Linked DNA regions of Lepisosteus oculatus. The protein of the gene in region 1 interacts with the protein of each later gene in a pairwise test. Links are inferred from orthologs where the notes say so. Each region holds a gene or a part of one and is shown in the gene's direction. Other genes may lie near its edges. The genes, in order: pdlim7, gem, enkd1 and pak5.

Region 1 (7,796 bases):
CTGGTGTTAGCGAATATGAATAGTTTATTGGCAATAATTGTGAGATTAATGAAACTCAACACTTACACTCTAAATATATTTAGGCCGGATGTGGCTTATCGCCAGGAAACATCAGGATTCTGAAGCACTTCCAAGCAAAGATGTGGAATTGAGTGGAGTTGATGTGCTTTGAATTCGTCTGGCTGGAAGTTTGGAATTAGATCAGATTAATGTTGAGCTTACACAATCAATGGAAGTCAATATGTTATTAGACTTTTAAACCTGTCTCTACATGAATAAACAATCAATGAGCTCACCCTTTAATCACTTCGCTTTAATCATCGTTGTTAGTTATTAACATTTTCCTCTTTCTAATAGAGTCTATACATATTAATCAAAATTATGAATACCGAAGGACTGCTGTTACTTGAAGCATTTTGGTTAATAACCCTGTGGTAGCACATTTCTGGCCTGTTAAAATCCCAAAGCATACGCCAACATGTTTTACATTACAGCCAGGATTACTGAGAGGCGCGTACTTGCCCAAGTTTCGTAAGAAAAAAAGTGTCTTCCCAATATTTACTGACATTTAAAATCATCGAGGCAGGAGCAACTGTAAACGAGCAAAAAGAGAAACGACATACACAACAGAGGGAGCTGTTTAGCAGGGTTGGACTGAAAGTCCTTCTGTTTCACTGGGGCAACGGGAAAGAGCGCTGTTAGGAATGGTAAGACATTAAAGGAGTGTCTGGAGGTAATTCATTCATATAAGCGGGGTAGGTTTGGAAAAGTAGCTGGAACCTCCACCACGCAGAAATTCACGTTTCAACAAATTCAGAACAACACCATCTCACGCCTCCTCTTTTAACTTCAATAACTGGAGGGGCTGGAGATTAATTTTGTATATTTTGTATCGAATACAGAAAGTAATATTCCAATACACGGAAATAATCTAAGGGTGACATTCTTTCAAACACCCGATGTTTTTAGTTCTGGCGATGGTAAAGTGATCTCCTCTTCTGCATTACTCCCGGTAGCCAGGAGATGGAGACAGCACAATACAAAATGTACAAAAAAATGAAGTTCCGCAAACTATTGATCTTGATTTTGTTACAGTCATATAGAGCCCAGAGCCTCTGGGCGTTTTTGTACTGAATTAAGTTGTTCTGAAAATAGTCATGTACATAAATCTACATTAAATACTTTTCATTTCTTTCTTTTAACAAGTACATGAAGGCATACACGAGATATGTCTTATGTTTAGCCCGCTGTTACAGAAATAAAATACCGTATCCTAAAGGTACCCGCTGAGCTATGAATAGGAAACAATAAGCAGATGTTCTAGATGTCTCTAGTCATGTCAAACAGCGAAGCCAAGGTTTGATTTGTCTATTGGCCATGATGAAACCGCTGAATTTTTGTCTCTATTGATTTAACATGTTAGAATGGGTTTTATATAAGATGCTAAAAATTCAACAACACTGCGTTTCAAATTGTGAGTGCATTTAGAATTCAGAAATAGTGAACGACCTTAAGTTCAAGTGTACTCCCAGTTGAAATGATCGGTTTTCTTTTTGAACAGTTTATTGCCCTATACCTACAGGAACTAGCTTGGGGTGAAGATTGTTGAAACTAATTGAATACAACTTATACAAAATAAAGATGCCATTCGTTATAATTTTTTCAGAACACTGGGAATCCTCTCCGTTGCTGCACATTTTAATGTTTTGATTCTAAAAAAAGTAGAAAGTTGAACAATGGTTAATTTTTGTTGCACGGCAGCCGCTATAATCTAGAATGCAGTTCAGTTGCATAGGTTACTCGGAGCCCTGTTTATTTAAACCTATCATTCGCAGGTTAAGTCGCTTCTGTAAAGCGCATCAAGCTAACAGCTCTCTCGTCTACTCTCATCATCTTGATCGTGGGTGTGCAGGAGGGCATTGGGACCCTATAGTTAACCAGGGATGGAAGAATTGACTGCACCCTACAGCTGGATCTGTTGGAGTGCCTTCTAAGGAGCTCGGAAATGTTCAGGTCTCTCACAGAGTGCTTTGGTCCCTAGACCTGAGCCTGGAGCACTTAGCTCTGTTGTTCACGACACTGTTGTTTTTTTATGCAGCATACCTCCACTGGGTCATAAAGAACAGTAATTGTCCATAACCAGGATTTGTACTTGCTTCCATGAAAGGCATCAAAGGATGTTACCATTTATCCCCAAAATTGACAAAAAGGATGACGTCACAATTCTTGGAGAAAGCAACAGCACAGCAGCAATAATTTCAACCAGCGTTTAGATAGCAGCTGTGTGCAAAATTCAGCTGTGGCAGCATTTTCAGTTTCAGTGCAAAGGCAAAAGGCAGTGCGGAATCACACCTATGGCTAAATTTCCCAGAAGTCAATGAATCTACCAGTATGTGTTTGGATTGTGGGAGAAGACTGCAGCACCCGGAGGGGGAACATACAAACTCCACACAGATAGCACCCCAGGTCTGGAATTGAACACAGGACTCTAGTGTGAAAAGCCAGCAATAACAAACACTATGCCACAATGCTGCCCTAAATATTAAGAATTATGCAAACAGTTTTCCTACAACACTACGTTTCTAGCATGGAATAACAATTGTTCCTTTGGACGCACCAAGTGGAGAACTATATAGTGTAGTGATTCCTGAGATTTTTTTTAAATTCTACATTGTTTGTCTTTTCTTGGCAGCCATGCTTAAATCTACATAAACATTTCCTTTTCAGAGAGCCGGCTTGTTCCATGCTTCAGGTTAGTGATAATTAGGTAGATTCATTCCTGCAGCTTTTTAGATCTGTGATCTCCTTATATGGGCACTTTCTAGCGCACAGAAAAAGAACTCCGCTAGACCTGTATTGAATAGTTTTCCTGTCTGATAAAGCATTCTTCAGATCAAAGACCTGTGTTCAGCACATAAACAAAGATCAAGCAATTCCTGGTTCAAAGAAACATTTCAAAATCTTGATTTGAAATAAATCTGGGAATTCCAAAGTGTGACTTGATTTTTCTTGGGTTTTATTTTCTGCGGTTCGTTCGTTCGGAACCGATTCGTTCCAGATTTTAACATGTTTTTGGCCCAAGGAAGAATCTGATTGTTTCTGTTGCTTTTTCATTAGTGAAGCTGAAATGTGTTTGATGTTTTGTTGTAGCAAACAGCTCATTAATTTATTTTATATCAAAGAGGCAGTGGTGTTAGTAAATACAGTACACTATAGATTGATTTGAACTCTGATAATATTAGGTATTTTAGTTGATGAACATGAGGAGGAAATAATCTGGCAAAAAATGGATGCTCAATTTTATTTTCTAGGTACATTTTTTAAGAACAAAAAAAAAACAGACTTCACTGGAGTTTAACTCAAGGCAGCAAAAGAAAACATAGAGCTGCATTTCACCCAAAGTAGTCTTCTGTTCACTGTCGGATAACTGACAAATGTTTGTTACCTGGGAGGGCTTTCTGGCAAGTGATGAGGAAAGCTGTATCTAAAAAAAGCACGCTTCGGAATTTTTATAGGAATGATTCTGTATGCATAAAATACATAAGCACCTTTAAAAGAAGTTACATAATGAACTAGTGGCAGAGGATAGTGATTAAGGTTGTGGATTCATACTGTAACTAGCTTCTCCCTGCGCACACTGGTATTGTATCACAAGAACATAACAAAGGAAAAGAAAGGCGGCCATTCAACCAGTCTAACTTGCTTGGCTGCTGGTTGGAGGATCACATCCGACTGCTTTGTGAAATAAGCCAGGGTCTTCGTCGGCTTCAGTGACATGAACTTTCCAATAATTCCTACCGGTGTCCTTATATTCAAATACTCCCCTCTTGCTTCTGAAGACGTCTGTTGGGTTGGCTTTGTCGTGGTCTTTGGGGGCTCAAAATTTGTGAATCACATTGTTCCTTCTTCTCTGTTCAAGACTAAGAAGATTCAGTTCCTTCAGCCTGTCAGGGAGGGACAGTTCCCTGAACCACAGGAATGTGCGTGGTTGCTCTTTTCTGGACTGATTCCAGAGCACCGTATTGTCTTTTGTATTGCAGTGACTGAAGTATTGTGGTCAACGCTGCTCTTGCCAAACAGCAGTGGAGTTGAATTGGTTAGGGTGTCATGTTATTATACAGAAATGATGGAAGATCAAGACTAACAGTAATACATCATTTATTTATATAGCGCCTTTCCAAACCCCAGGGTGCTGTACATAGTGATAAAGAAAAGCACAATAAAAAGTAAAAGAGAAAAGTAAACAAGAGCATTCGGGTTCGTACAGAATAAACGTGGGTCAACGTGGTTTGGGTTTGAAGACATTCAAAGAATTTTAAATTTACTGTAAATTGTAAATGTAAAAACGTTCTGTATTGTTAGCAAAAAACCCAAAACAAACATTTGCTAACACTACAGAAATCAACTGGGATCCCGAAAGCTAAAATAAAATGCCAACATGACATTTCAGCTGGGTTCAGGGACATCATAAAACCAGCACTCTCAAGTCGATGATTAGCATGGGGGGTCATGGAAAAGTCGAGCGCTGCAAATTATACACCACTTTTATTCCGCAGCTGGGATTCGTCGAGCAAAACGATCTAGGTGCTTAGTTGTAAAGACGAGCTGGCTGCAGGTCAGACGTGTGTGTTGAGCGGCGAGATGGGAGAGCGCAGCACCGCGCAGCGCATCGCAGTCCCATGCCAGCTTGTACCTGTAGATGGAGCGCGGAGAATTCGTGGCAGCGCTCCCAATGACGTCACCCGGGCTGTAGGTTTTTCCTTGTCTATAAAAGGAAACAGAAGGCAAGTTTACGGCTGCTCGTGGATACAGTTGGACTGGCTTACAAGGAAAACTTAGCACATAGTAATTAACTTTTTTAAAGTGCAAAGATAAAAAAAAAAGATCGTTAACGATGTCCGCCAGCCAGAAAGAGGCTCCGGAGGTAACTGCCATATAACACGATTGCTTTTGCGAGTTACACAATATTTGTGTTCTGTTCTCATAAAAAACGTTTACATGGCTCTGGTAATATCTATACAGTAAAAGTTTTTTAATGGAAGTTTTGTTTGGCGTTGGCGTTTGGAGGCGGAGAAGAGGGAGTGGTCCACTCTTTTCCTAATTCAACTTTTTGTAAATTGTTCTTTTAAATTTTATAGGGCAGGGTGCTCAGAGATTGAATCCTTCTGCACAGACGAGATGTGTTTTCATAAGGACGTTATCTGCGGTTTTTTTGCGTTTAGACCTAAGTAATCAAACGCGATCTTTGCAAGTCTGAGCAACGCTGCGTGGATAATTTGGGTGGGTCGAGATTTGTGATCACGAAAGCTTCTTGAGAGTTTCCTTTTGTAAGCTGGCTGTGAATCCGTTCGTGTAAAGGCGAATCAAGATCGTGCACTTAGCATTTTTTTCAAGTGCTAAAAGAGCGGATATTTCATGTTCGTGGATGTTAAGTTATGCTGCGTTTTTTTTAAGTTGGTGCACACATTGTCCCAAAATAAACGCACTGATATCATTTTGAATATTATTCAAATAGTTTTAATGTGACAAGAAAAGTGTCAATTTCTGATTGCATGCCAGCAAGCAAACGTTATGTATTAATCGAGATCTCCTCTATCGTTTCAAGAATTGCTTAGCTATTTGCTTGGGTCAACATTTAACCTGAAATGATCAAACACTCGTCAGGTCACCGATATTATTTGTTAATGTCTTTTTTTGGGGGGGGCTGTAAGTGATGTGGTTTTGTTTAGTATCTATATTGCTGTGGTTAAGATGTATGAAAAGGAATAGATGGTACTGTATATAATTGTCACCCCCCTACCAAAAAAAGTGCATTAGTGTTTTTATGGTGACGTCGATCAAAAATAAAGATCTAAAGTCCTACAGATTCAATATATGAAACGTGACAACACTTTCATTGTTGTCCGAACCGAGCAATGTAAAACTTCACTAACGAACTTGGAATTGCATTATCACCTTAGGACAGGGCAGGTGTTTTTTTAGCGTTAGTGCCCTCTGAAAAGAGAATCTCTTTCTGTATTGTATAGATCAGCGTTATTTTGTGTAATGCTTTATCTTGGAAAGATATTGCGAATTCTGTGAATGGCATTCTGTTCTGAAATAGATCTTGGTATATGCAGGTATGCTAACCTGATTTTGGTCATTTATCCGCCTCACAGTTTTTTAACGTACCCATTTATACAGTGAGGTATTTTACTGGTGTAATTTGAGGGGTGTACTTTGCTGATGTTTACTTTATAAGTACAGTAGTGCCTCACCTAGCCTTGAAATCCATATACATTATATTGCTGTAAACACAGAGCATCAACCTCTACTCCATACAGCTGCCTGTACAGTTTTCATTTGTAATTTTCAGACCAGAGGTTTTTTTTTATTATATCCTAAAAATGTAGGAATGTAGAATTTATTCTTGGATATATGGGAGGTCCCTTCTACCTCGTAAACATCGCTGAATGCCTTGTCCTCAGTGGTCAAAGCTCTTCTCACATTTTTGGTTCTACATTACTGAGGTTAAGTGAAAATCAATGCGTTTCCCTGAGCCCGACAGCTAATCAGATCTCTGTAACATGGTCAAGAAACACTACCATGCTACATGCCAATAGTGTATTTTACAAACCTTCACTCTCCTGACCTACCCTCGCTCACAGTTTTCTGAGTTTGACACATATGAGGAAAGGTTTTCATGGTTTAACACACTAGCATAGTGACTGCAGAAGTGTGTCAGAAAAGTCAGCTGGAGTTGCGGTGAGTATTGTAGGTTTTAAGGCTCAGCTACAGAATTTCTCTCGTGTAGAGGGCAGTTCCAATGAGTTTTTGATCTGGACCATGTACTGTGTTGTGGGTGTGTGTGCATGTTGGTGTTCAGCTGGTGGTACTCTTGGCATTAGTTGCACCATTCTGTAGTGAGAAGACGAAAATTGCTTTTCATATAACGGCTTACTGCTTATAAAAATATAAGATGTAATTGTGCTAAATCCTTTGGATGTCTTTTTTTTTTTTGTCTGACCTTTATGAAGCCTTTGTTGAAAGAGGGTTTTGCCATGTGATATATATATATACTACTGTTGAATTAGCCATTTATATTTGAAAGGAATTGTGTACATTGGACTGTGTTATTTGACACTCATGCTAGGAATGTTGCAGGGTATTGTTCTTCCATCTGCATAACATTGATCAGTTAAGACCCTTGTTCTACCCGTCTGATGCTGAAATATTGAAACTCGCCTTTATTTGATCAGACTACCGTAATTCCTTAAATATGGGGATGTTTGTATGATATTCTAAAAGGGCTCGTTATATCCAGAACTTTGTGGCTTGTCTGCTTTTTGAAAGTATTCTACTGTACGTCAATGCTAACTCCTGTCCCCTGTGAATTGAACTTGCTGCAGTCTGCTGATTTGGGCTTTGCCAACGTATTCTAATGAAGATCAGGATCGACACAAAGGCTAACTTGAGTCTTTTTCTTGTGTAGTATCACATCTGTGTGAAGTTTCAAATGCAAATTTATATGTACATTTTGCAGGATCAAGTAATTGAAGAAAACGGGGTCAGAGAGCAGTCCTAGTTTTTCAAGGAACGTTGCAAATCTCAAGCACAACCTCTTGAACGTTCGGCTGTATATCAGTTGAATTTGTAGGGATAATAGGAGCTGTTTTAAGGAGGCACATGCTAATGAAATCAATTTATATATTAATTTCCTAAATACTTAGTCGGAGATTGTCTGGGACCTGTAAGAAAACTTTGTAAGCACATTCTGGGTTCAGCTTCAGAACACAATCAGCCAGGTAAGAAAACCA
Region 2 (7,320 bases), on another chromosome or scaffold:
GTCTAAAAGACTGAGCCTCAGGATGGGTCACCTCTGTGAGTGCCTACTGTATCTCTAACGGGTAAAAAATATGATAGAATATTATCTAATAGAAAGCAGCCATCTGTAATATCTTTCAAATATGGCTCTCCAGAGACTTGTTAAAACCATTTAAATATGTTTTTTCACAGATATTTCAATGGCAAATAAACATTTGGGTTCATTTGTCTTTTTTGTTAAAATACGATGTTACAGGGCTTACACGCTATAACAGTTCAGGTCCCGGTTGTTGTAGTATATAACATGTTTATGCATATAAAATAGTACCGAAGATGCCAAAAGTGATTCTTCAGTTTCAATTTCCACAATTAACAATAACAATCCACTTAACAGTAAGGAAGAAAACCTACACAACCCCCATCCTTAGACCTACTTAAAGACTCATAGATTCCCATCGCGGTCCTACTGACACAATACTATTTAATTGCCAAGGTCTTCAACTTCTCTGACTGCACCTGAATTTACTGTCCATTGTGGAGAATGGTAGCCTAATGGAAACCTTGATATATTTTCTCTGGGGGAGAGACCACTGTAAAAGTGACTGAAATAAGATAACCGCAAATCGATAGTCTGCGGAGTTGAGACATCACCTGTCATTTCACAGATCTCCTTTCACTGTGCTGCAGGAACATACTGTAGTAGTTTTAGGGCTGCAATTTCAAAAACCGATTAAGTACAGGAAAATATTTATTATAAAATCTAGTATCATAACAGCTGGTTGGCAGCAGTTGGTGTAGTGTACAGTATGTATGCAGTACATGGTGTATTTCATTCAGAGACTGTAGTGTTGATTCTGGGGATACGATCCACGCTGGGCAGACACTTGGCTAAGGCTCGCATGCTACACAAAATTCAAATTTAAGGTGGGGAATAACTGAGATGAGCTTGAAATTATGTGAATTTTTTCACTGTCTTGTTCCCCACTAGGAAAAAAAGGTGTTTTTTTATAATTTTGCATTGGTTTTTGTAGTTAAACTAAACCTGTATTTTTTTTTTCTTTTAATGGAAGCACTGGTTACAATTTCCTTTCTGAAGCACAGCACCTTTTCCATACCTCCACCTTGGTGCTACGGTAGCTTATAGGTTTCCTCATATTCGAATTGTCTCTTATTTCAGCTGTGGCCTCCAGCCATGGCCTATTTTAAAAGTCTCCGCCGGTTTAATCTGATTTATCAGTGCCAGGAAATAGGCTGAAGCTTGTGCCACACGAGGTGCTGAATGCATTCTGACAGCATGCATGGATTTTATTTTCTCTTGACAGCGTTTGAAAAATGCATTCGCTTTTTTAACTTGTATCACCTTTCGCTAAGAAGCTTCAAAGAGAGGCAAGTGTTAATTGCAGTTCATTTGTCCACAGCAATCGATGAGCTCTCCCCTGGGTGTGGCTGTTTGTTAGGATACAATAAATGATTCGGCTGGGTATTACTCTCATTTAATCTATGATATCCCATATTCCATTTTCAATAATTCATTGCTGGTCATGTTTTCCAATGAAAAGCCACTTACACTAGCAGCTTAAATGAATGTTAATAAAGCAACGTAAACGATGATCTGTCAGTCTATGTAGTAGCCAGTGGTGAGTTGTTAATTTTACTTTCATTCCTTTCATATTTCCTTTCATATTTGTTTTTATTTTAATGCACATTATTCAGAAAAGTCTTCCATTTCTGGATGACATCTGTATGTTTTGTCACGAGTATAGTTTCAGCCATGCAGACACTTCAGAGTTTATCCTTGTACCTTCAACCCCAAAATGTACAGTGACAGCTGACAAATTCCCAAAAAATAATTTCAAAAACTGCTTTTCAGCAAGATGGAGGTAAAAAACACTAGATCTGTTGTTTCAAAACATACTAGATAATTTAAAAGAGAACTGTCATGAATACTGTTGAAACACAATTCATTGTTCTTAATCTAAACATTTCTCCCCGTTTGACAGCATGCAACTGTTAACAAAATAATGAACTGACCTCCAGGTTAAGATGTTTTTTGGACCAGATTCAGCATAACCCAAAGTGACCTACCCGCTAGTGGAAATAGCTTAATGTATCATCTATTTAGAAAGTCTTTTAATACATGTCTTATTCAACTCAATCTCAAACTAATCACCTTAATTAACATTTAAGGACCTTAATATAACCAGCTTACTCTAGAGTGATCTCTTGATTATGGTTCCAGACAGAAATAGCCAAAGATGACCAACCCCTTTGCAGTGAGGTATTTGTGATTAAGTAATTGGCACACTGGCTAAATGAAAAATCTTAAAACATTATGTCATTATGGGACAACAAAAGTAAAATACATCAAAAGAAATATATTCTAAATCATTTAGTCATTTTTAAAATGTAATTTCAGGCACATTGTGTATTTTTAAAAATGATAAAGACGAAGACATTTTTCTCTTGCCATCCTTGTGTTTGAAAAAAGAGACTCGGGGTAACTGAAGTCACACCTTTACCAAGTTATATTTAAAAAAGGCAAACTAAAAATAAAACCAATATGATAAACATGATCACATTTTACCAAAAAAATGCATTGACAAAACCTTACATACAACTATTATTTGTCTCTACCAACAATACAAGAAATGTTCGTATAAATAGAAATAAAGCCTGATGGACTTCTCTCACAAAATAAATTTGACACAAAATATATTCAGTTCTTTCAGCTTGTGAGTGTAAGATACTGTAGATCTGTACTTCAGACTGATTCCACATAAGCAATGGCTTTTTTAAAACACGGTGGCCAAACTTGTACAAGATCTTCGTACAAGGTCTTGCTAATTGTTCCATTTTAACATGGCATTCCTTGATTGAACTATATACCCTATGTGTCTTCTGTACGTCCTTTGTATTGCTTCCGCACACTGGCTAATGGAAAGCAATGTGTCAACCTAAATGCTTACGTTTACTTTGATAGGTACATTTTTCAACATCCTCCCCAGGAGCTGCAGTCACTGGGTCTGCACCTGCTCGTTCTGTCTGCTCGTTGGACGAAGATAATCACAGGGTATAGTCCCTTGCTCCTTCAGAGTCCCCAGCTCCTGTACATGTAAGGTACGTATCTCTCTTGCAGTGTTTCTGCACTGTAGGAGAATAGAATCTCCCACGACCACCACTGTTTGCCTTGTGCTTTCCCGGATGCTTCTGGGATAGGCGCTGACTCCCCCTACAACCCTGTCTTGGATAAAGCGATCCGAAGTAGGATGGATGGCTGGGTGGTAGTTAAGTTAGTGTAACGCATACGGCCGACATTGCAGGTCGTGCGAGACCGGCTTACCAGCGCGGTGACGTTACCACCCTTCCCTGTGAAAAGCAGGGACCGCAGCTGTCGGGCTGAGGGGAGATTTCCCTTTGCCTCAACTGCCTGGGTCCCTGTTGAGTCATGCCGGCGGCCCGGGTTCGAGTCCCCAGCGGTGGGGGGCTGACCCGAGGCGGCAGCGGCGAGGGCGCATACCCACGTTAACCCCGAGAGTGCTACATTAACATGGCGTGCATAACTTAAGAGAAGTTAAGTCAGTATATAATTAATTTGGTCACACTTTAGTTTAGGGGCTGTGGAATTACACGTTAGAAACGAATAGTCCAGCAGTTAATACATTTTCTAGTGACTCTGGATTGAAGAGGTAGAAACAGATGGATGGATGAATGGTTAGGACCGTATAATTGCCTAAACCTGTCAATAACACATGCGGTTATTTAGTCGTAAATTGCATCTCATACTTTATCCTGGGATCTTTTGCCTTGAACTTCCAAATCCTAACTGCCCTGTTTCCAGGTACTGGAGTTGAGTAAATAAATCTGGTGATGTGATATTATGGCTCAGTGTTAGGAAATATTGTCCTGTTCTTCATCCTGTGACACATATGTGACAAACTCTATAAGATTGTCTTACAGCTTATTAGCACTAAAGCTACTTCTATTTCTGCATGAAAATGAGTGTTTTGTCAGTGGTATTCTAGCTCGGATTTATGTATGGCCTACAGCGACAAGCACTGGGAATGGATATTTATTTGGGCCAATCCGAATGTGAATCTAAAAAAAAATTCCATAGATAATGGAATGTCGTCGTGCTTTCGAGCGATAGACGTTTGTCGTATCGTAGCCACCCTTTCAAGTAACAGCAACAGTATGTTCTAGGCGAAATTCCAAGTTCATCCACAAGACTAGAGGAAACCCTCTCCGTCTTTGTTTCACTGTTGTCTGGCTGGTAAGCGAAGGGAGAATGACGTCACGGAAAAGCCCTCGTCTTTGACCCCTACTACTATATATAAACCCAAAGAGCTGAAAGCACATTAGTGGGAAGCAGAGAATCTACTGGGATTTACAGCCCAGCGCACAGATCACGAAACCCAGGCAGAAACACCGTCGAACAATCAAGTGGTTCTGGAGTTTGCGCTGCTCCTAACTGGATAATGTAAGATATGTTTTTATTTTGGGGGAAAAAAGTAAAGGAAACTACAATGCAATTATTATTCTATTCTGCATGTTTTGTTCCAGTATTTTGTATTGCATCTTCGAGTTAATAACCGGGTTTAGATGCTTAAAGAACTTTGTATTTGGGAAATCTTACAGCTTAGACACAGTTTTAATTATACGTTTTTATTGCAGCGATCATGGTTATTTTTTGTTTTATAGACATTCTTATTGTTATTCTCTAACAGTGAGTAATTTTGATACATTTTTAATTAATAAAAATCAAGGCTTCTGAGGGGTGCGTGCACGTCTCCTTGTTTTTAAGATTTAAAGTTGCAAAGAGATGACATGGCTGTAGAAGGTAAATTCAGTGATCAACAATGTGGAGTGTTATTTTTTCAAAGACATTACATCTTTTTTTTTTACGGGAAAAAATGCATTAAGAAACTCTTTTATTCCATATTTTTGTAATTCCGTTGCTTTCCCCCCGTGCTTCAGAAAGATGACCCTTCACGTAACCATGAGACACAGCAGTGGCTGTCTGCAGCCCCAGCAGCACCGCTGGAGTATCTCCACCGACGGCAAGCATCTCCTCAGCAAGAGCTCGGCGCTTCAATCCGGCGTCTGCCGCTCCAAGTCCTACACCAGCGCCGGCGAGTCGTGCAGGGGCAGCTGGTCGTCGGACTCCTCGGACTCGGTCATCTCCACCGACTCCTGCGCCAGCCTGTTCAGAGTGGTGCTCATCGGCGAGGACGGAGTCGGGAAGTCGGCGCTCGCCGGCATTTTCACGGGCGCCCAGGACAGCATGGACAGCGACTGCGACCTGAGCGGAGGTCATTGTTTTTATCAGCGTTGTTTTCCCGTGCAATGGGGCTTGTATCTTTAAACGGGTGCGGGGTTATTAAATTATTCACGTTCGTTTTAAACAAGCCAGTCGATCTTATATGTGAACAACACCCTATTATTTTATTTTTGACATATTTTTTGTGTGTGAAGGAGATTAAATATTTTACAGCTTTATTCGTATAACTTGAACGCACGGACCCACGTAAACCGTTTTAACGTCTTTTTGTTATTTATAGAAGACACATATGAACAAACGCTGACAGTGGACGGCGAATGTGCGACAATCATTTTATTGGACACCTGGGACACTCAGGTAAGATAATAAAGCATAGCATATAACATAAAATACGATATATCCTACCCATGCTATTTTCACTGTGTGATGTGCAGGTGTTTTTTTTAAGCATTGTTATTTGCATCTTGCCCATTTTATATACCGTCTATTTTATCATGCATAAATGAGTTATTTTCCTTTGTATCGTTTTTACAAGAGTAGTATGCGAAAGCGAAAGCTTCAGTTTTGGCCATTTTAAAACTTTAAAAACAAACCATTAAATCCATGTTTTCTGATCGCTCGGAGTCTTGCTGTTTCTGAACGTCTGTGCTGTGCTTCTGCAGGACAGGGGCAGCTGGAGTCAGGAACAGTGCATGCAGGTGGGAGACGCGTACCTCATCGTGTACTCAATTACCGACCGCTCCAGCTTCGAGAGAGCTTCTGAGCTGCGAATCCAGCTGCGCAGAGCGAGGCAGATGGAAGACATCCCCATCATTTTAGTGGGCAACAAGAGCGACCTTGTGCGGTGCAGAGAGGTCTCAGTGGCAGGTAAGGTCTCTCCCTGTAACATTTTGAAATCCCCTAAAGGGGGTTGATGTTTTTTTAGAAGGAGCGTGTAATCACAGCAAGACCCTGTGAACTTTAATAAATACCTCTGATGCCGTAAGATGATAAAATAACGTCATACGATAAATTTATGGAGCAATATGACAGAACGAGACCCAAACTTAACGCAGAGGTTTTATTTTGTTTTCGACGGTGAGCGCTTGTGGCGGAGAGGAGAAATGAGATTTGCACCCAAACTAGCTTTTGCAAAAAAAAAAACAGATCAATAATAGTCTTTAGGAGTCCCATAAGAGTAAAAACTGAAATCTCTATGTATTCTCTGTATGGAAATGTCACATACTGGTGCCATATGCCTGCATACACATTTTAATAATTAAAATCTGGCTAAATAAGAAGATAACTTTGAAATGTAATTATTCAACAGAACACTAAGCAATAGGTAATTTGGTTCTGTGCTGCAGAGAACTGATAATGAATGATTAAGACAGTATAATTACTGTACCTAAAGCTGTACATAAATCATAACCTGCATCTCATACCTAATAGTTATATCAGGAGTTGAAAGTGTTTGGTTCTGTTTTATTCTTGTTGAAGGTGACACTTACATTTACTTGGATATTTTTTTGCAGAGGGCAGAGCCTGCGCAGTAGTATTCGACTGTAAGTTCATCGAGACTTCGGCGGCAGTGCAGCACAATGTCCGAGAGATGTTCGAAGGGATCGTGCGACAGGTTCGGCTTAGGAGGGACAGTAAGGAGGCCAACGAGAGGCGGATGGCTCGCAATAAGAGGAGGGAGAGTCTTCCCAGGAAAGCCAAGAGATTCCTGGACAGAATGGTGGCTAAGAACAATAAGAACATGGCTTACAGGCTGAAATCCAAGTCTTGCCACGATCTTTCAGTGTTATAAACCCACTGGCGGGCTTTCCATCTCAAGGACTTTATAAGTCACAAGTCAATCTACATTAGATTGCGTTACAAAACTCCAGAACAGAGGGTGTGACAGATCAGCTCTGATCTACCGCTCCTGTTCCTCTGTCTGTAACAGATGGAAGAATTGCTTGGAGATATTCGTTCACGTACAAGAGGGTATTGAGTAACAGGTAATAGAGAGACTGACTCTAGAGGGCTGCAGAGAGTCCTCCTGGTCTGTTTTCTTTATTAAAATTAAAATGAAAATAA
Region 3 (7,398 bases), on another chromosome or scaffold:
CCTAACCGCACCCTCCCTGTCTCTGTGCGAGCAAGTGTGCAGTGTTAAAACGCCCGGAACATGAACCGTGTCCCGTACTTCCACACCCGGGGAATCGTACTAGACGTGAAGTCGGATCTGGCGTCGTCCACGCTCCAGGGCACGCGCGAGCACTGTTCCGTGGGTACAAGCGAATGTGGAAGCTTCCATTGTGTGTTTCGATGAACCGTAACACTAAACGTTTTTTTTTCTTCTTTTTCTGAAAACGTACACGAGAAACCCCGATCAGTAAAACGAAATCACGCCTTTACGGAGTTGCGTCGATGTGGACTCAAGGATCGCTGGCAGTGTCCAGCGGCGAGACGGAGCTCTGCTCTGTGGAAACGTGCGAGGATTCATGCTGTACTGTAGGCGTTAGTTCACTCCCAGCTATACAGGGTCGTGTCTGCTTCACAAGCCTTTAATGTTTCACTTTCCCTTCCCAGCACAAAAAAACACAGCGTTATAGGCATTTATATTTCAAAGTGTTCCCCCAGGATAAGAGAGAATTAAGGCTTCAACCCCGTATCATTAAATATGCAATTTGTCATATACCCACTTAAATAAATACTGTACGTATTTGTACAACACCGAACTATATCTGAATTTTAATTAGCAGGCAACAAGTGCCCCTAAATGCATGCTAGGCACATATCGAACTACCATGTATTATTCGTTTTAGATTGTGTGGTTAAACAATAGCAGCAGCAGCTTATTAAACACGTGTAATAATATATCAGTATTATTCATTAATGAAAAAAACACTACAGAATATAAACTTCCCCAACCGATTGATATGTAGCAAAGCTACAGCAATGTCTTGTATAATTGTAGCTATAATGATATCACGAATCGGATCACCTACAGCTTCTGTGACCCCCAACGCACTGCTGTCATTCAGAAACCAACCCTCCTCCCTTCAAGAAGCGTAATGATACAACTTAAGTTTAAAAAAAAAAACAAGAGAAAGAACACCCTTCCCCTGCACTGAGGTTAATAAAGGTTAGCTGTAACGCGTCAGGACAGACCCACAAACTTCCACGGCAGATTTTGAAAGTGAAATCCGACGCACCACGCAACCAGCACGTAGGCCGGCGAGACTCGCTTAGACGAGCACAAAGGCCCCGGCGGTCAAGCCTCTTCCTCCTCGGGGCTCGCACCCCGGCCGGCGCTCACCGGCCCTGTGTCCCGCTCTCCCCCACCCTGTTGCCGGTGCTGTGGCCCAGGGCCAGCTCCGGGGCCGGCCGGTGTCTTACCGTTATTCAGTTGCGGGATGTGAGGCGCGGCGCGCAGCAGATCTGTCAGTGTGTGAGAGAGGAGGGCACTGTGAAGGAGAAACCCAGCCACAGAAACTGAGCAGGCGCGACACACGCCGGCTCTCTCTCTCTCTCACACACACACACTTCGAGCTCGGAGGAGAGGGTAAGGGACGCTGGGAAAATAGGGAGCAGCGTAGCAGACAAGGCGTCTGACAAACGAGGCCAGTATGCTGACAGACACACCTGCAAATACACACTCAGACGGGCAAAACGTTTTAAGAGTTTGAGGGCAGAATCCCTTCAGAGATTTCATCCGTAGGTGGGATTCATGCAGGAATCCATAATGATTTGGGCTTCAGTGAGCGGCTTGTCTGCATAAACTTTTCAGCTTGTCTTCCCCAGATAAACTCGTGATATCCCCCTCTCTCTCTGCCTGCCTGCCTGAAGCCGCCATCAGCCCCACTACACGGCTGATTGGGGTAATTACCTCCTCCCATCGGATTGAGGGAGACATTTAGGGGGGGGGCAGTCTGTTGAAACCCATAGCACGATTTAACCAGCGCACTGGGGGGTAGCACCCATCATCTTTCATGAGCAAGCAGCCAGGACTTATTTTATATGTTATACTCATGTGAAGGACAGCGCAACCAACGGGTACACAGTGTCTTCTGACACTATTACTGAGACACAGGGATCCATGCACAGTGGAACTGTGGAAAGTCCTGTGAAAGTACAGTGGAACTACCGCAGAAAAAATAGGTTTCAGTGAGAATCTGTATAAAGTAGTCAGACTACTGCAGAATAAAACGGGTTACAAAGGGGATCTGTGTGAAGTACAGTCGAACTACTGCAGAAAAACCAGTTTACAGCGAGGGGCTACGGCACCGTACTGATAATGTTACGCTAAACGTTGCACTAACATCAAAACAATTCGCATCCACTTTGCGTCTGGGCAGGGGCAACATTGACAGTGACCTGTTTCTGGACTGGACAGCAAACTGCTACATCTGGTTCTTCCTGTTTACAACCGTTTTTTGTGCAATATATGCCAGGGGCTTGTGCAATACGTTTATATTTATATTTATATTGTGCAATTCAATTTTTGTGAACTTTTGTGTCTTGTATGTTCTGGACTGTGAGTAACTCTTCTTGGTGCACTGCTCACTGTACTGATTGTATTGCGTGTGTTGTATCATTCGTTACACTGTTGCTGTGTTGTCTGCGTTAAGCTGCTGTTGCACTGCGATGTCCCTCACGGGATCAATGAGGTATCTATCCAAAACGTGTTATAATAAGGGTTAGTGTCAAAGGTACCGGAAAGTTGTGAAGTTGTGAAACGAGGTTAAAGTAAGAGTGTAGCAGAGTAAGAGCCTCGTGTTACAAGGTGAGGTTGATTTCAGGATACAATACGAGATTAGAGTAACATTTACAGCTTAATATACCGTTTAGCGACGGAGAGCCTCATAACGAGTAGACCCACCCACGATGAAATACAGCACCACTATAGTCACACTAAGAGACTATAATACATGCACAGCTTTATTGTTATTCACTTATTTTCATAATTTCTTTCCTTACATTTTTAAAATGGTCATTTTCGAAGCTCTTTCCGTAGACACGGTACTTAGATCCGGTACACGGTAAGAGATTAGCACATTGAACATTGAAGGCGCACACAGAACCGGTTGGACTGCAGCGCCTCAAGCTCCGTCTCAAGGATATGCCAAGCACGCCTACAATGGCGTGACGTACTACGTCACCAGATGTCGTGCTGTTGCCATGGTGAGGCTTGCTCCGCTTGGGAGATGAAGCGGGGTGATGTCATCAAATTGCGTTGCAGAAGAAGACGGTTTTTCTGTTGAGTTTAAGGATAAAGAAACGGTAATGCAGTAAAGCTTATTTTGATTTAAATAATTAACGAAAAAGCGCTGTTTGGCTAAAAAGCGTTTACAAATAGGGAGCGATTCCTCTTTATATTGATTCTGACTCCTGTTGTTTTGCTAATTTTATGTCGCCAAAAAGTTAACATGTTCTGGCCGCAAGTTCGGTAAAATGTCACGCGTTTTCTGAGAGGCGTGTATTTTAAAACGTTATAGATTAATGACCACTGATATGATGGCTGTTAACCTTTATGTGCAGTGACAGAGCCTCGCATCATTTTTAAATTTCATTCGTCGATGTCTGTGTCTTGTCCACAGTCAACCGGCTCTCCTGTCCGGTTGCTCGCTGGTCGTCTCCAAATGATACCGTGCCGGTTGCAGTGTGTTTCGGCGGTTTCACTTTCGTGCACAAGAAACGTGAAAAAAATCGTCTGTGGGGGTGTGCGGAACAGGACTGATGTCAATTTCACCTTTTAAATCCCACATCTCTTTTCAAAGCAATTGCAATTCTTACTGATAACAAATATCACGTATCGTATTTGCTGCGGTCTCCCATGACTCATTCTGGAGTCAGTATTGTACTGTTACTGTTCTGAGTCCACCTGGGTGAGTTTATAGTTGTTCGTGTCTAAGACAGAAGAGAGTTATAAACTGCGAGTCTCGCATACAGGTATAAACTGAATTATACGACTGTTCCTATTATAACTATTACTGCTACTAAAATGATTATGTATCATTAGTAAGGGTGGTAACATCCATTTAAAAACAATTACTGTCAGAATTAAAGTATAACGTTAGAATACGCCTGAGGTATAAAACATAAGAACATAAAGTTTACAAACTACAGGAGGTCACCCCAGACTCTCTCCCTATCTGTGTGTCTCATGGAGAGCAAGCTGGGGTATGCAAAAAGATAATTTCTAATGCAAGAAATTGTAGAGGGTTAATAAAGTGATGTTATTATTATTAATAATGTGGCCTGTTTGGTAGTGAGTGACGGATTGATCCAAGGATCTCATCCAGCTGTTTATTGAAAGAAGGTATCGGTTTCAACCACATGGCTGAGCAGCTTGTTCCACTCTCCCACCACCCTTTGCGTAAAGTGTGTCCTGTGCTCAGCTTGAAATCCATAATACTACTTTATAAACCTTCAGTAATCCAGCCTTAAAAATGAAACGCATCCAGAACAGTCTCTACAATGTTTTCTGTGTCTTTAGATTTTTTTAGCCGGTATGATTTGACACCACATTTAGTCTGATTTAGTACAACATGCCTGATGTGTTATCTTGTCTGTTACTTGAATATTTTCTTTTTATAGCTGTGCCCCGACTGGCACTTCAGCGTGGGAGTATGTCTGAGCCAGTCGAAGCATGGCCACGTGTGTCCGGGGATATGTGTGTGTCAGATTGTCACTGTGTGACCCTGAACCTGGGGTCTCTCCACTATACAGGGCAGCAGCCAGGGTTTGTGGCATCCCCCACTTACTTAAATTAGTGCATTTATCTTCAAAGGTTAGCCATTCACAGTATTATGTGGAAATCGGGCATGTTGTAAATATTAACACATTACTTTCAGGGCTCAGAAGGACTTGTGTTTTGTCTGTATGATAGCAGAAAGAAGAATTGCAGGCCCAAGTCTCAGAAAGATCTCCTGGCACTGCTCGTGCCTTAAGCTCGGGAATGATGCAGGAATTGTAGCTGGGGATTTCAGGCCATGCCCTGATAGTGGATTTTCTCTGGCTTTGTCCCGAGCAGTGGGACGATGTGTGAAGGCCCATCACGGATCTCTGGACCGATCCCTCCCGATCCCACCCTCTTCCCTGAGTTTTACAGACGTCCGGCCTCTGGTAAGACACTATCTAGTCCAGTCTTGGGGACTTGAGTGACCGTCTACTCACATCGGATTCGCCTGAGTCTGTGTGCTTCCCTAGTTCATGTGTGGCCGTCCCATAATTCATCAGTCATTAAACATCTTTCTGTGCCTCCATCCTCCTCCTCTTCCTCAACCTCTTTGTCTTGACTTAGCTCACTCACATTGGAATATGCAGTAATTGGTTATTACACCTGTACTTATGCGAACTGTGGTTATAATCTCTGTGTTTCTCTTGCTCTCTGTTGACAGCGCGAGGCAGGCTAGAGGGGAATGACCTGAAGTTGACCTTTCTGTCCGGCCCTCTAGCCCCTGACCCTTCGCTGCACCCTGGCTGCTACAGCGCACGCCCCCCTCCTCCCCCCCGAGTGCACCCCAACGCCATGCACATCCTCGAGAGGGGTCAGCGAGGGGTCGTTGGAAATCTGCTGCAGCTGGAAGGGGTCTCTCTGCACCCAGATCCCCCAAAACACAGTAAATAAACTCCCTCCCTCTGATATCCTGTTTATCAGATCCGACACACTTGTCAAAGTGTTGGAAGCCCCGATTCGTGTGAATGGTCAGCGTGAGGCTTGAGGAGCAGGAGAAGTATTCCCATCACGATCCCTAACCCCCTAACCAGAACAATGCCCAGATCTCACTTCCTCTTGGAAATACAGGTTTACTGATATGCTGGCCCTACAAATCTTAATCATCATCGCAAATAAAAATGATCTTGCTGGAAGAATGGGATGTGATTGGGCTGGAAATATTTCCTGATATTTCCTGAGGAATATGTGCTGCAGGCTGTCCTTGCTTTTCAGAATGGGATGCCGTATAATCGGGTGGGGTTTTCCAATATTTTGATTATTGAGTGTATATATTGTTATAGAAGGAGTTAGGGAAACAAGTAAGCGTCTAATGCAAATTGTGCAGTACGAGTTAATAGCAGGTGCCACAGTAGCGCAGTGGTTCTTCCAGGGTTCATGTGGGCTTCCTCTGGGTGCTCTGGTTTCCTCATGCTGCATGCAAAGACATGCTGGCGAGTTTGCCTGGCCCTGGTGTGAGTGTGTGCGTGTCTGTGTATGTGTGCCCTGCGATGGACTGGCGTCCTGCCCAGGGTGTATCTTGCCTCCATAGAAAATGGAAGAATGGATGGATGAGTTAATAGCAGAGTCTGTGTAAAAACGAATTGTCATCTGGTACGGTTTTATATTGGAATTGTGCTGTCTTAATCATTTCTGTTTCAAAACAATTGGAGGGCCGGCGTCGCACTGCAATGAGTGTTTCAGGCCGGGTATAGAAGTGCTTCGTCCTAAATCCCGAGCCCACGTGTGCGTTCTGTGGTGTCTTCAGAGAAGGAGCCGCGGGATCACGGCAAGGAGAACGTGCGGCGACTGCGCGAGATCCAGCGCCGCTGCAGGGAGCGAGAGGCCGAGAAAGAGGGCGCCCGGCCTGTGCCCGTCAAGGCGCTGTGGAGGTCCCCAAAATACGAGGCAGTGCCGTCCAAGGTCATGACCCAGCTGCAGGTGAGGCTGGTGGTGCAGGACAGCACTGTTGGTTAACAGAAGCTTGGGGGCTCGGAAACTCCCAGAGAAACTCCCTGCTCCAGGGACTGCTCAGCTCAATACGGCGGCGCTCTGTACCGGCCACTTAACAGGGCAACGATTCTTCTGTCACTCTCTGCGAAATGGACATTTCACATTTCATCCCCGTCTTTCCCAGGAGACGACGCCCCCCAAGAGGTCCGAGTGCCAGAACTTCCTGAAGGCTCACTCGCGCTGTGGAAGTGCAGGAGCCCCACGGCGCAGCCCCTCCCCTGGGCCCCCCACCCTTGACGCGGATGCTGAGGTTAGGGAGGGGGAGGCAGGGTCTGGAGAACAGAGAGGAGGGCCGCGGAGTGTCTTCTTTTTCTGTGTATCTATCCCTTTGTGTGCAGGGGTCTGCTTCACAGTCGGATCCACTCCTGGTTTTACCAGCTGCAGGCTCTTGTACAAACTGAAGCAGATAAAGCAAATATGTGCATTTTGTAAATGATTTTACTTATGTCGAATTTCAGTTATGATCAGCTGCACATTCTGCATTTCCGATGAGAGAGGAATGTGCTCACTCACTGGTCTTGGCCTCCTGGTGCACTGTGAGCTACATAGTGTTTTTCTGGAGGGGTGATTGCAGGGGCACTACATTTCTCACTGCCAGCCCCCAGGTTTCTGGGAGGACCCAGAGATCACAGATTCTTTGCAAGCTGCGGTTACCGGCCGAATGCCAGCAGCACCTAGCCAACTGTGAGTTCCGGTCTCACTTGGCTTATGACAGACTAGGCCGGAGAAGACTGCGAGATGAGGCTCAGCTGTGCCTCCAGCAGGTGCTTGTAATGGGTGAGCCACTCAGGG
Region 4 (7,682 bases), on another chromosome or scaffold:
AAAAGGATAAAATGTTATAACTTTTTATGAAGTACAGAATATAAGCTTATTAATGTTATATTAAGAACAAGCTCATTAAAACCAGAATCCATGTACAGTAAGTTACCAAGTTAAAGACTTTGATGCATAAACTATTTATGCATAATTAAAGTATTTATGATGAATGTGGAAGGTTGTGTACTTTTGTCCAACTGAGCAATCTTGCTTTTATAAAATATACCAACTTTTTAATGTTTAATGATTAACATGCTGTAATACACAGTTTAAAATTATTAAAAGTCTAAAGAGTATACAACTTAAATTCTTAATTGGAAAAAGATTGTCCCCAAGCAACAACCATCCAGCAGCCATATCACCCTGCAACTCACAACTGGCAACCCACTGAAGCTAAGCAGGTGTGAGCCTGGTCAGTACCTCGATAGGAGACCTCCTGGGAAAAACTAAGGTTGCTGCTGGAAGAGGTGTTAGTGGGGCCAACAGGGGGCGCTCACCCTGCGGTCCATGTGGGTCCTAATGCCCCAGTAAAGTGACAGGGACACTATACTGTAAACAGGCGCCGTCCTTCGGATGAGACTTAAAACCGAGGTCCTAACTCTGTGTGGTCATTAAAAATCCCAGGGCGTTTCTCAAAAAGAGTAGGGGTGTAACCCCAGCGTCCTGGCCAAAAATTTCCCATTGGCCCTTACCAAACATGGCCTCCTAATAATCCCCATCTATGAACTGGCTTCATCACTGCTCTCCTCCCCACTAATAGCTGATGTGTAGTGAGCGTTCTGGCGCACTATGGCTGCTGTTGCATCATCCAGATGGATGCTGCACATTGGTGGTGGTGGAAGGGAGTCCCCATTACCTGTAAAGCGCTTTGAGTGGAGTGTCCAGAAAAGCTATATAAGTGTAAGCAATTATTATTATTATTATTATTTGACATGTGACAGCTCAAATACTGTACATGAGAGGTTAAGCTTTATTAGCTCCACCTGGTGGTTTTACAAGGTTCTTCCGGATACTGTTATCATATTTCAAGTATCAAGTATCAAGTATCATGCAGTATGATGCGGTATGATGCGATATATTGCTCTACACCCACCGTGTTTTAACGCAGAGTACCTCTCACAAGATGTATTATAAGATGCATCAAATAAGATGCACGACCTTTTCACTTAAGCATAAGGAAATGTGCAGCTGAGCTAGGGAGATAGCTAGTTAGCAAACTTTGTATGTTTGAGATGCAAGCAAAGGAAATAAAGAACCAAGCCAAAAATTTAAATACGACAGGTACAGCATTAAAATATAAATGGTGACTATCATACGGTACATATCATGCTGTTGCAAATCATTTAATTGTCCAGAATATACAATGGAAAATGTCAGGGCCAACTGTAAAGATCCATATTTTTGGATGGTGATGTAATTCTCTCCTCTTTCCCTTTTCTATCTCATTTTTTGTTGAATTTGTATTCTGGTTTATTAACTGAAGCTTCTTACATAATTTGTTCGTGTTGAATTTGTTGATAATAATTGTAAATGAAACCCCTGCTGAAGTACATTTAAAGCATTCTTTCCATAAAAGACTGGTCTATAGCGCAATAAAGCATTGATCTTCACCCCACTATTTCTGTACATTAAGCTTCGTGCTTTAGATGAATTAGTAGGCCTTGCTCTTTTCTTTTTAAAGCATGTTTCTTCAATACAGTGGATGCTTAATATATTTAAATTTATGATAGTAGTGAAATGGTGAAGTGGTAAATCAGTTTTCACGGCTTTATTAGCTGCTGGTTAAGTACATCTGGCAGATGCTGCCTAGCTCCCAGCTGTTCTGAAGTTTCTTTTTTAAAAGTAGACCATGAACTACTGTACATACAGCATTACTTTTGTGTTTCTTTTTATAATAACAATTTATATTATTTTATTGAGAGATTAGATACCTTTCTTCTATGGTATATTAGGGTAATTTGTTATGTGGATCAACATTTATATTAAAACATTTTTTTTACAATATTCTGTTTTTCCCTCCAAATGCAGAAGACAATGGTGTTGATTTCATGCAATTATGTTTTAAAAGAGCAACTATTTGTATTTTTACTGTAGCACATTCCATTTTCTGGTTTGATGTATATTTTGTTCTTTTTATTTGTAATTATATTACTAAAATATTCAGCAAGAGTAGCCGATTTAGTCTTAAAACTGAAAAATTATAAATGGTGTGATAAAGCCTATCACTGATAAAGCCTATCAATGAGCAATATTCTTTTATCATTATCTGGAGGCAAGGTCTAAGATTTTTTTAATGTAATATTAGCAGTCAACTGAACAGTATATGATATCAAATTAAGAACAATCAGTTATGAATTTTGTAGTACACGTGTCAAGTAAGAAATTACATATCAAGAAATGCTTTAAAAAATGTAAATGACAGAATGGATTTTGGCATATTTGTTTTTAGTTACAGCTTTAGGCAGGCTGTCTTACTCATCCAGGAACATAGGACTGTGTCTTAAAGGGTCTTTACGGAATCATTCAGATAGTGCTGTAGAGTTTTCTGTGGTCAATTCACTCTATATAAAGAGGTGGTTCGTGTTTGCTATTGTAATGGAGTAGCAGATTCTTTGACATTTCCTTATCATTTTGAGGTTAATGGCATAAAAGAATTTAGAGCAGGGATTTCATATTTGTTTGCTACATTAGGACAGGTTTGATGTAATTGTACTTCAAGATGGATATTTTATCTAAATACAAGGCACCTTACTTTATATTTGAATTGTTTTGTATGTTTATGTTTATTATAAAACAAAATACCTCCTGTTAAAATGCAGTCAACAGCCATTGCTTCTTAACTTCTTAACTTACTTAATAATGTCACTTTTAAAAAAATGTAATTATTGGGCTCTGAGTATGGTATGTTTAGTGATCAACATCACCTTAAAACTTTTTGGAGAAAGTAATAACACAGTAGCTGTGATAAGTCAGAAGCAGCTTGGCTTGTTTTCCATTTGGCACAGTTTTTGTAGAGATTTAAACAAGGAAATGGAATTGGCAAAAAGCAGGGTTAAAAGAGACTTTGTGTGAGGAAAAACACAATGCAGGATACTAGATGCTAGATGTCAGCTATATAAAAACAGCAAAAGTTCTACTTTACAACTATTGCTATTTCTCTTTGGCAACAGCTCCCTGTACAAATCAATCACTCATTTCTATTCTAAGAAACAATATAAATTACTCAATTTATCCTGAACCACATAACAATATTTCTCCAATAAAGCATTTATATGGCCCTTCTATTATATTGAAAAATCTCATTTTGACATAAACAAAAACAGAAGGTTTAATGTCAGTGAGACCATTTGTAGTTCAGTCACTGAGGTTGCTTGAGGTTGCTTTAGATTTTGAATGAGGTGAAGTGGTGTACAGGTTTCGGGTCTTTTTTTTCATAACTATTTAGTGCAAAAAATATTCCTGTTCTAACTAGATGTGTGAACATAAATGGGAGTGTTGAGAATGAAAAGAGCACTGACCACAGCACATGTATAAGTAAGACCGATGCATCACCAAGGGCAGCTGCTTTGTATGTGGGCTTTTTAGGCTCAGACAAAGAAATTTAATCCCAGCTGTTAGCTTAGACTGAAAAAACTAAATGGATGAGATAAATGGGCTTGGCAGGTTGAATCAGCCCAGCTGGGCATATGTTTGCAATCCCTGGTTAGAGAGAAAGTAATACAGGCTTTGCATGTGGGTTCAATAGAGAGACCTGCTGAAGATGTGGTTGATTTTTCTTTTCCATAAATAGGTACAGAATACAGGAGAAGGTATCTGATTATTGGGGTCGGTCTTTTCACATACTGTATGTTAGACCAAAGATGAACAATCTTATGTTCTGTTCTTTCTTTATTCTATTACATGTGCATCACCCTTGAGATTTTCTTTGGGTCCTTCCATTCTAGTTCAAATGTCTTATTTCTGTGTAGATTTTTAGCTAACTGGAGTCCATCATTCAGATATGACCTTCTGCAGGTTGTATTATTTTAGTATGCAAAGCTATACTATGTTTTAGGGCTATACCATCTTTTAATGTCATACCCTATCAAAATAATTCAATGTTATAATATAGGTGTGAGAGAATGGGTTGTGATTTACATCATTGTTGATTTTAATAAGATTTTAATAAGAGTCATGTTTGAAGCAAGATTTTGAGTTGGTGAAAAAGAGTTAAAGTCAATTTGTCCGGCCTTCAGGCAAAACACTGTGCCCACTAGAGAGTTACATTAGGTTAAATCCATTAACAATAAAATCCTTACAGGGTTATTGACTGAAGCAGGTGCACTGCTCTTCTGCTACAATTAGTAATGAATTATACTGTCATCATGAGGTCATGCTAATTTATGTTCTCGCAGCCAACAAGCCAAATACTGTATTTTCTGCTGTATACACTACAGTATATTGTGTTGACTGAAAGATCCGTGTAAACCAAGTTGTGACGGATTTAAGTTGCAGTGGGAACTTTTTCATTCAAGAGAAATGGTCAGTGGGAATGACTGAAGGCCAAAACTGATGGGAGAAAAGTCCTTGTGTAATTCTGCAGTGCACAGTGGGTATTCTGCCCACTGGTTCATGACTCACAGTCAGATCTGCAATGGAAAGGCAACAGCTTACTTTGTCTGTTATAATTTGCTAGTGTCAGCAGCAGTGGATAAATTGCCATTGGAAGTTATCAGACTGTGCAAGAGCAAGTGCTACAATATAAAGCTTTACTCTCTTGATATCTGTGACGAATCCCTAGGAATGTTTATTTTATGTTTTGTGATTAATTCAAGAGCACAGTTCTCATTGCCTTTGAAAATACTGTGACTGGTTCACCTGAGTCAGCGCTCTCTGTTGAAGTGGTTACATAAATGACAGAATGAATCATGTTCCAGGTAAGAACCTTCTGAGTGTTGTTAATTCAGCATATTGCACATTTTGGTATATTGATAGATTTGTGTTTTTATATCACCAAAACAACAACAAAACATATTGGTATCCCCTGTTTAATATTTAACTAATAGATATTTTGCTTCTCACCACAGAGGAAAATCCTAACATTAGCAACTTTTACTTTAAGAATGTAATACTAGAATATGTTTCACAACTAGAATATACTATACTATACAGTACAACATAGAGAGCAACTGCGTCTATTTAGATATTTGTTTTGCAGATTCATGCTCTAATTGATTAAATTTCAAAGTTACAACTTCTGAATACTTTTAAAATTTTCAGAACCAAGTTAATGTTTATTGTCATGTGTACCTTAGTACAATGCAATGCTAATATTAGAATAGAATAAAATAATAGAAATTGTGATTTAGTAGAATATAGCTGTGGTCCACACTGTTCATTGGTATTTGGTACTATTTTAGCTTTATTTGGTTTACCTATTTTTATAACACTGCATATATAGCTATTTCACCTCTTTTAAATGCATTTGCAATTATTGTACTTGAGAGATTAAAATTCCCAGCACTTGCTATTTGGTGATCTCTTCCTCTCTATGAGCTGCTCATGAATAATTGATGCTAAAACTCTTGGAAGTTTAGTATTTTGCATTCCAAAAGATATGCTACCATCTGGCATGTTAAATTATATCATTTAAATTATTTGTACTTATATTTAGAAATGTACTGTTGGCATAGAAAGTCAGCATACAGAAACATTCACTATGGCTGTTTAGTACATTTTTGAGGCATGTTATAAATTGTTGTTGAAGCTTTTGTCATTTTCTAAACGTGCCCTCTTAAGACCATTTCATAAACCAACATTTGCTTATATGTTCCAATTATATAGTTCTTTAAAGAAAAATCAGAAATAAGTCATAACTTATAAAACTTTTCACTACTCATGTCAGAAACATGTGATTTGCTATATTTATCACAACTGGAATCAGGATAGAATAGCTGTTGTTCATTCAATAGCTTTAATGACATATTACATAAAAAATTGTAATTCCTGCTACCAATGCTAATAGTAATAAATTAAATGAAAACAATATGTAATCTTGAATTCGTTTTACCCCTCCTATATATATAATCAGCAGCTGTCAATTAAGTCAGCTCAGGTTGCTCTCACCCTTCTACCAGAATAGCTGTGATAAGGACTCTGCAGTTGAGTGAGCATCAGCTGCTGGAGTAATGATGCTTCTGCTGGCAACAGTATAAACTTGCAAGTTCCTGGCAAGTGACAAGTCATGTTGTGCTGCCACATGAGCTAACAGAAGTTCACTCAATCCTGGGAGTCACTACTTGAGGAATTGTAGGTCGCAATCTGCTAATGACATAGCCCAATTCAGAAAACTAATCTGCAAATAGTAACATCAAATTAGGACTCTGATACATCTTTAAGGGTATAGGCACTTGAGTGGCTCAGCTGGTAATTTTAAATTTAGCTGATCCAATGTTACTTCTCAGTCATTTGTACAAAGTTGAGATCTTAAAATGAAAACAAATGCAAAAGCAAACAAATTATAAGCAGTGTTCGGGAGTGTTCAGTGCTCAAGGTAATATATTTGTGTTATTTATGTTATGATGCTGTCTTCTAGAGTGCGAAATCATGATAAAATTAATTTTAAGTTAAGTTTTTTGTACTGTGTGTACTAAACTATTAGTAATATATTACTTTCTTGCTCACGTCATGTCTTATGCCATTAGTTTTACGTAAATCTAATGTGCAACAATTTTGGCAAAGGAACACAAAATGAGAGTAATTTTGTAATCAATTTTTAAAAGCAGAGGTTATTTAGGAAGTATTTTGTTATTCTCTACATTTTGTTAATATTCATAAAATTGATTTAATTTGGTAAGCAAATCTACACCATTGCCTTGTTTATAAGGTCAAGGCTAAAATGTATTTACATAATTTGCTAATTCAATCAAATTTGTTTATTCACATAATGTTACGGGTTTATTCTCCCTTTAAGTAATAAAATGTTACTATATTGCTGACATTGTAGTAACTAACCAATTGAACCGGGTGTGTTGTAAATTCTGAGACATACAAGACTGTTCTAGCCAAGTTTCTGGTTTATTCTTAGCACAGTCTGACAGTGATAGTCAGATACTGAGCCAGCTGACTCTGGAAATGATCCTGATTTACATACTATTTGAAGAACGGCACTGCATGAGATTAATTCAAAGACTGTTTATTACTGTTACTAGTACTAGTTACTGTATGCATTGACTTTCAGGTTGGCTTTATGTAACAGACATTCAGATACAGATAATTGTGAGAGACACATTTTATTTGTGGAAGAAAATTATTGACTGAAATAAAACTCCACAATGTTTATCTACCAAACTATTGAGAAGTTACTACCATTCTTAGTAAGTCTTACTGGCAACATAATCCTTAATTAGAAAGTAAACCAGCTATACCAGTGAAGTCACTTGAGACCAACATTACAACCAACCAACATGGGCAATGACTTGTTCCTCTAAGGAGCATAGTGTTACTTCATATCCAGTTCTACTGAAAAATTGATAGAATATTTCTATATTTAACTTTTATAAAGGCAGCTTTTTCTTGTATAATGTACAGTATAGATAGTGTACTATTTATAGATAGTGTATAGATTATATCACCATTTGATACATAAAGAATTACCTTCTGAAATGAACTTGTCTAGTACTCTTGGAAATGTTAATATTAAACATGCA

The links.
Region 2: the proteins of pdlim7 (region 1) and gem interact in binary tests that used the Homo sapiens proteins (3 or more experiments, as listed by UniProt). The two-hybrid records come from large-scale screens. The link is inferred for Lepisosteus oculatus from reciprocal best matches to the Homo sapiens genes PDLIM7 and GEM.
Region 3: the proteins of pdlim7 (region 1) and enkd1 interact in binary tests that used the Homo sapiens proteins (3 or more experiments, as listed by UniProt). The two-hybrid records come from large-scale screens. The link is inferred for Lepisosteus oculatus from reciprocal best matches to the Homo sapiens genes PDLIM7 and ENKD1.
Region 4: the proteins of pdlim7 (region 1) and pak5 interact in a two-hybrid assay, tested with the Homo sapiens proteins (2 studies listed by BioGRID and IntAct). The two-hybrid records come from large-scale screens. The link is inferred for Lepisosteus oculatus from reciprocal best matches to the Homo sapiens genes PDLIM7 and PAK5.

The regions. Positions count from the first base shown.
Region 1 is NC_090706.1:37,404,128-37,411,923, forward strand, and holds the start of pdlim7 (PDZ and LIM domain protein 7), read left to right. Parts: upstream 1-4,790; 5' UTR 4,791-4,894; coding exon 4,895-4,924; intron 4,925-7,796. UniProt on the Homo sapiens protein: May function as a scaffold on which the coordinated assembly of proteins can occur. May play a role as an adapter that, via its PDZ domain, localizes LIM-binding proteins to actin filaments of both skeletal muscle and nonmuscle tissues.
Region 2 is NC_090705.1:7,493,811-7,501,130, reverse strand, and holds the start of gem (GTP-binding protein GEM), read left to right. Parts: upstream 1-4,318; 5' UTR 4,319-4,455; intron 4,456-4,952; 5' UTR 4,953-4,956; coding exon 4,957-5,287; intron 5,288-5,536; coding exon 5,537-5,613; intron 5,614-5,918; coding exon 5,919-6,123; intron 6,124-6,770; coding exon 6,771-7,048; 3' UTR 7,049-7,320. UniProt on the Homo sapiens protein: Could be a regulatory protein, possibly participating in receptor-mediated signal transduction at the plasma membrane. Has guanine nucleotide-binding activity but undetectable intrinsic GTPase activity.
Region 3 is NC_090697.1:65,809,048-65,816,445, reverse strand, and holds the start of enkd1 (enkurin domain-containing protein 1), read left to right. Parts: upstream 1-4,379; 5' UTR 4,380-4,426; coding exon 4,427-4,620; intron 4,621-4,911; coding exon 4,912-5,003; intron 5,004-5,278; coding exon 5,279-5,500; intron 5,501-6,361; coding exon 6,362-6,534; intron 6,535-6,730; coding exon 6,731-6,856; intron 6,857-7,398. UniProt on the Homo sapiens protein: Microtubule-binding protein which regulates microtubule organization and stability. Promotes the stability of astral microtubules and facilitates the proper orientation of the mitotic spindle.
Region 4 is NC_090697.1:41,985,819-41,993,500, reverse strand, and holds the start of pak5 (serine/threonine-protein kinase PAK 5), read left to right. Parts: upstream 1-4,665; 5' UTR 4,666-4,894; coding exon 4,895-4,910; intron 4,911-7,682.